2 linked regions of the Saccharomyces cerevisiae S288C genome follow. Changing the gene in region 1 together with any one later gene gives a genetic interaction. Each region holds a gene or a part of one and is shown in the gene's direction. Other genes may lie near its edges.

The links.
Region 2: of CTA1 (region 1) and ECM19, a mutation in one rescues a mutant of the other (synthetic rescue), as found in Saccharomyces cerevisiae (one study listed by BioGRID).

Annotation. Positions count from the first base shown.
Region 1 is NC_001136.10:967,747-971,680, reverse strand, and holds CTA1 (catalase A), read left to right. Parts: upstream 1-2,000; coding exon 2,001-3,548; downstream 3,549-3,934. Other genes in the region: RKM4 (ribosomal lysine N-methyltransferase), read left to right, coding at 207-1,691; ubiquitin-protein ligase RMD5, read left to right, coding at 3,859-3,934. UniProt on the Saccharomyces cerevisiae protein: Catalyzes the degradation of hydrogen peroxide (H(2)O(2)) generated by peroxisomal oxidases to water and oxygen, thereby protecting cells from the toxic effects of hydrogen peroxide.
Region 2 is NC_001144.5:901,066-904,238, forward strand, and holds ECM19 (Ecm19p), read left to right. Parts: upstream 1-2,000; coding exon 2,001-2,339; downstream 2,340-3,173. Other genes in the region: STE23 (metalloendopeptidase), read right to left, coding at 1-1,595; CCW14 (Ccw14p), read left to right, coding at 2,659-3,173. UniProt on the Saccharomyces cerevisiae protein: May be involved in cell wall organization and biogenesis.

The DNA of each region.
Region 1 (3,934 bases):
CATGTACCAAGTGCCCTGGCAATACAATAAAGCTATTGGTCTGGAAGTATTGATATTATTCAAATGTAATCTTCGAGAGTTACTGCGGGTAATACACACATGTGTCACATATTTTTCTCTCGAGTATGAAAAAATTTCATTACCTTTGTAAAAGCTTAATACGATCATTTCAATATGACTAGTAATAAAGGGGAAAGTTTGCGAAAATGGATGATTTTTCAAGAGATACCGAAAACTTTGTTTGCTGGTTAAAAACTACCGCTGAAATTGAAGTATCCCCTAAGATAGAAATCAAAGATCTTTGTTGTGATAATCAAGGCCGCGCAGTAGTTGCCACTCAAAAGATTAAGAAGGATGAAACATTGTTTAAAATACCTCGTAGTTCTGTTTTAAGCGTTACAACATCTCAACTGATAAAGGATTATCCTTCTCTCAAGGATAAGTTCCTGAACGAAACCGGATCGTGGGAAGGTTTAATTATCTGTATACTTTATGAGATGGAAGTTTTGCAAGAAAGAAGCCGATGGGCGCCTTACTTTAAAGTTTGGAACAAACCAAGCGATATGAACGCGTTAATTTTTTGGGATGATAATGAACTGCAACTTTTAAAACCATCACTTGTCCTTGAAAGAATAGGAAAAAAGGAAGCCAAAGAGATGCATGAAAGAATTATTAAATCAATCAAACAAATTGGTGGAGAATTTTCACGTGTAGCGACGTCCTTCGAGTTTGATAATTTTGCCTATATTGCAAGCATTATATTGAGTTACTCCTTTGATTTGGAAATGCAAGATAGTAGTGTAAATGAAAATGAAGAAGAAGAAACCAGTGAAGAAGAACTTGAAAATGAGCGCTACTTGAAATCGATGATTCCACTTGCTGATATGTTGAATGCAGATACCAGTAAATGCAACGCTAATTTAACTTACGACTCTAACTGTTTAAAGATGGTTGCTTTGAGGGATATTGAAAAGAATGAACAAGTGTACAACATATACGGAGAACATCCAAATTCGGAACTACTAAGAAGATATGGGTATGTTGAATGGGACGGTTCGAAGTATGATTTTGGAGAAGTGTTACTTGAAAATATTGTCGAGGCGTTAAAAGAGACTTTTGAGACGAATACTGAATTTTTGGACAGGTGTATTGATATCTTACGCAATAACGCCAATATTCAAGAATTCTTAGAAGGTGAAGAAATAGTACTAGATTCATATGATTGTTATAATAATGGTGAATTGTTGCCTCAACTAATACTTTTGGTCCAAATCTTGACAATTCTTTGCCAAATTCCAGGTTTATGCAAACTGGACATAAAAGCAATGGAAAGGCAAGTGGAGAGAATTGTAAAGAAGTGTTTACAATTGATAGAAGGTGCCCGCGCCACTACAAACTGTAGTGCCACATGGAAACGTTGTATTATGAAGCGTCTAGCCGATTACCCCATAAAAAAGTGCGTTTCTATCGAAAAACCTTCGAAAGGAAACTCATTAACAAGGGAAGAACTAAGAGATGTTATGGCTCGGAGAGTTTTGAAAAGCGAAATAGATTCGCTGCAAGTTTGTGAAGAAACCATCGACAAGAATTACAAGGTTATTCCTGATGAAAAGCTGCTAACTAATATTTTAAAGAGAAAGTTGACAGAGGAAGAAAAAAGCTCTGTCAAACGTCCTTGCGTGAAGAAGTGAGCGGTTGTTCTAACCACTATTTAAAGCCGCAATTAGTAATGCAAAAAGTTGGCCGGAATTAGCCGCGCAAGTTGGTGGGGTCCCTTAATCCGAAAAAGGACGGCTTTAACAAATATAAACTCCGAAAATCCCCACAGTGACAGAATTGGAGAAACAACCAGTTTTGATATCGCCATACATATAAAGAGATGTAGAAAGCATTCTTCACTGTAATGTCCAAATCGTACATTTGAATTTCTTGTAGGTTTATTTAAAAGGTAAGTTAAATAAATATAATAGTACTTACAAATAAATTTGGAACCCTAGAAGATGTCGAAATTGGGACAAGAAAAAAATGAAGTAAATTACTCTGATGTAAGAGAGGATAGAGTTGTGACAAACTCCACTGGTAATCCAATCAATGAACCATTTGTCACCCAACGTATTGGGGAACATGGCCCTTTGCTTTTGCAAGATTATAACTTAATTGATTCTTTGGCTCATTTCAACAGGGAAAATATTCCTCAAAGGAATCCACATGCTCATGGTTCTGGTGCCTTCGGCTATTTTGAAGTAACCGATGACATTACTGATATCTGCGGGTCTGCTATGTTTAGTAAAATTGGGAAAAGAACGAAATGTCTAACAAGATTTTCGACTGTGGGTGGTGATAAAGGTAGTGCCGACACGGTTCGTGATCCAAGGGGGTTTGCCACCAAATTCTACACTGAAGAAGGTAATTTAGATTGGGTCTACAATAATACACCGGTATTCTTTATCAGAGACCCTTCCAAGTTCCCTCACTTTATCCACACACAGAAGAGAAACCCACAAACCAACCTAAGGGATGCTGACATGTTTTGGGATTTCCTCACCACTCCTGAAAATCAGGTGGCCATTCATCAAGTAATGATCCTTTTTTCAGACCGTGGTACCCCTGCCAACTACCGTAGTATGCATGGTTATTCTGGTCATACCTATAAATGGTCCAATAAAAACGGAGATTGGCATTATGTGCAAGTTCATATCAAAACCGATCAAGGAATAAAGAATTTGACCATAGAAGAGGCTACCAAAATTGCGGGATCCAATCCAGATTACTGCCAGCAGGATTTATTTGAGGCTATTCAGAATGGAAACTATCCTTCCTGGACAGTTTATATTCAAACAATGACCGAACGCGATGCCAAAAAATTACCATTTTCAGTCTTTGATTTGACTAAAGTATGGCCTCAGGGGCAATTCCCTTTACGGCGTGTGGGTAAGATTGTTTTGAACGAGAATCCACTGAACTTCTTCGCACAGGTGGAACAAGCTGCCTTCGCCCCCAGTACCACGGTTCCTTACCAAGAAGCAAGCGCTGATCCAGTATTACAGGCCCGTTTGTTTTCATATGCGGATGCTCATAGATACAGGCTAGGTCCTAACTTCCATCAAATACCCGTAAACTGTCCATATGCATCTAAATTTTTCAATCCCGCTATCAGAGATGGACCGATGAATGTTAACGGCAACTTCGGCTCAGAACCTACATATTTGGCCAACGATAAATCGTACACGTATATCCAACAGGACAGACCCATTCAACAACACCAAGAGGTATGGAATGGGCCAGCTATCCCTTATCATTGGGCAACATCCCCAGGTGATGTAGATTTCGTGCAAGCAAGAAATCTCTACCGCGTTTTGGGTAAACAACCTGGACAGCAAAAGAACTTGGCATATAACATCGGCATTCATGTAGAAGGCGCCTGTCCTCAAATACAGCAGCGCGTTTATGATATGTTTGCTCGTGTTGATAAGGGACTATCTGAGGCAATTAAAAAAGTAGCTGAGGCAAAACATGCTTCTGAGCTTTCGAGTAACTCCAAATTTTGAAACGCTCAAGTAACAAATGAGTGGCGTTGTTTCCACGACAATTATTTATGATAGTGTGTATTTTTAACACATTTTATTTATTACAATTTATGTATTTTGTTATGAATTATTTATTTATACGACTAATAGGTGATGCTCATATTCTCGTGTTAGAAAGTTAAAAAAATTATCATTTCACACATAGGAAAGCTCGTCGCGCCGGGGAAAAAGCTGAGGAATCTCTATTATTAGGGGTAAAGTTCAACACATTCAGTATGAGATAAGTGTGTCTTCAAGAGAGATGCAGCACTGAGTAGGGAACCAAGAAACGATGTCTGAATTACTAGATAGCTTTGAGACAGAGTTTGCGAAATTTTATACCGACAGCAATCTGGAAGAGACAAACC
Region 2 (3,173 bases), on another chromosome or scaffold:
GTCAGAGCAGGGTTCAAACCTGGCGATTTCATGTTTTTTATTAAATCTGCCGGATAATCTACCACTTTATACGCAGTACCATACCATTTTTCAGCAGAATCTGTTTCTAAACTCCTTGAGATCAGAGTAACACGAGAATTTTCCGGGACCAGAGCGTCCGTATATTGGGTAAGCAAATCAGGTTCATATTTCGTTAACAAACCCATGGCTAAAATTCTGCTAACAGGAATGTAATCCTTTTCCAAGCATTTTGCCAATGATGAAACTGTGGAAGATGGGCTACCAGCTTGCTTAAACTTGAAGGTAGCATTAGAGATATCTTGCAGTTCATTGAATATCCATTTTTGAGGTAGTGAGTTTTTCAACATTTCAATATACTGGAAGATCAAGACAATAACATCGCGATAGTGTGTCAACCCGTTGTCTGTTAAATCTATATCGACAGCAAAAAAAGCATTTCCTTTGGACACAGTATGCCCACCAGCAGATAGCTCATTGGCCCAGCCCAATTTTTTCAAATGTGCTAGTAATGAACCGGACCCTTCATGGCCGATTAAATGACTTAATATCCTCGGTGGCTTGGACTCCCAATGTTCCTCCATATCAGGGACAGTGAAAGAGATTTCTAGTTTTTTCAAATCTTTCACAGGACGGACTTGAATTATTTTTTGCAAATGCTCAGGCTGCATAATAGGTTCCGCATAAAGGGGTACTTCACGACCGTTATTGGCTACATCCTTGAAGAGATCATAAGTCCAATCAGAGAGAGTATCAAGGTCTTCTCTACCAAGAATACATAGCTTCATTAGGTTAGCGGAGTAAAAATTCTTATGGAATTTTAACAGTTCATCTCTAACATTTAGTCCATTTTCCTTTGGCAATGTGCCCAAAGTTTCGATGTTTCCTGTAGAAAATTTGTGATATGGATGTTTTGTATTGGTCAAAGACTTGTCTAATTGGTAAATTCTCCAAATATCATTCTGTAAGTTCTTTTTGTTTTCGCTGTTAACGGCGTTGATCTCTTTATCAGTAGAGTCCTTGTTGAAAAGAGGACAAGAGAAAAACCCTGAAAACCTGTCTAGCGCACCAAATAAATGTTGGTGATTAACCTCAAAAAAATAATTTGTGTTTTGCGATGCTGTGTAGGCATTGGATGAACCACCGTGCTTGCTTAAATAGCTCGAGTATTCGTTTTCGTCTGGAAATTTCTCAGAGCCCATGAATAAAAGATGCTCGCAGAAATGCGCCAATCCAGGTAGGTTCTTTGGATCTTCAAAGGCGCCAATATTGACGTCTAGCGACGCTGCTGCTTTATCTGCTTTTGGGTCCTGGATCAACAGAGCCTTCAGCTTATTAGGTAGCTCAATAAACCGATACGATCTTTCGTCTAAATCCGGCTTTAAAAAGTCCAGATTGAATGTCTTAAAATTGGATGTCATATTATAAGGATTTGTTGTGTAATAGCGTGATAAGCACGTGAATGGCTTGAAGCGTCTTACGGTGAAATTGAGACTGATAGGTGAGAGGTGAACCAATTGAGTGAGGAGTGGTTTAGTTACAAATGCAGAAGAAGAAGCTAAAAGAGATACGCCCATACAGAGCAATATCAAAATGAGCAAGAATGAGGTCTTCCGAATGGTTGGTTCTGACTTACTATTTGATTTCACTTTCTCTGATTCATTCAGGAAGAAAAGGGCGAAGTCCTCGAAATGAAAATTTCAACATCATTAACAGACCGGCGCGCGCCTTTACAATTTAGTATGTACGCCACCAATAAAAGCTGCTTAAACAATAAGCTAGAAAGCCCAAAGGGTGTTAAATAGTACAGCGAACCCTTCAGCAACGGTACATCAACAACCCCTTGAAAAGAATAGAGACAATACAGCTACAGTCATCCCCTTCTCTTGTATTTTTGGCCACAATTGATTGTATTACATCATATTTTGCCTGTGCGCTTCTTCTATCTTTTCCGCATAAACTAGGGGAAACGCGATGAAGAAATGGATTGGCTGAAAAATACAACAATTGTAGTGTTATTCAGTCATTCAACTGACAAAAGTAACAAACACAAGAAACGTCAAGTCCAGTGCAATATGCGAAAGAACACTTTAGATATGGTCACTATAGGTATCGCATGCCTTGTGGGAGTCTACACGGGCACGAGATTTTTCGAGCCCATTGTTATCGATAGATTGCGTAAGGATGGAAACTTGAGAACGGACATTCCCATCCCAGAATACGACGAGGACGGAAATCTGTTAAAGGTCACGCCGTCTTTATCATCCACACCAGCTGCACCACCTACACCACCTACACCTCCTACTCCACCACAACAGTAAGGAAGCGTACTAGAAAATACCTCTATACTTTCTTTTCCTGTATATAGCATCAATAGTAAAGCCATTATAACGTTACAAAAACCTATTACCCGGAAAATTACTATTTATAGAAGCATTGGACCCATGCACCACATGCATTAGGACCCATTATTTCTTTTTTACAATTTTTCCGTTAATTTTTCACGAATTTTTCACCGTTTATAAACACTCTCGAACTTATAAACAAAGGGATGATAAATAGATTTCGCCAGTTGTTAATACACACAGGGTCAAAGCTCACAGCACTACTACACTCGTTCAACACTCGTTATATATTATCATGCGTGCCACCACTTTATTATCTTCAGTCGTTTCTTTGGCATTGTTGTCGAAGGAAGTCTTAGCAACACCTCCAGCTTGTTTATTGGCCTGTGTTGCGCAAGTCGGCAAATCCTCTTCCACATGTGACTCTTTGAATCAAGTCACCTGTTACTGTGAACACGAAAACTCCGCCGTCAAGAAATGTCTAGACTCCATCTGCCCAAACAATGACGCTGATGCTGCTTATTCTGCTTTCAAGAGTTCTTGTTCCGAACAAAATGCTTCATTGGGCGATTCCAGCAGCAGTGCCTCCTCATCCGCTTCTTCATCCAGCAAGGCCTCTTCTTCTACCAAGGCTTCTTCCAGTAGCGCTTCCTCCTCTACCAAGGCTTCTTCCAGTAGCGCTTCCTCCTCTACTAAAGCTTCTTCCAGCAGCGCTGCCCCATCTTCTAGCAAGGCTTCTTCCACCGAATCCTCTTCTTCCTCTTCTTCTTCCACCAAGGCTCCTTCCAGTGAAGAATCCTCTTCCACTTA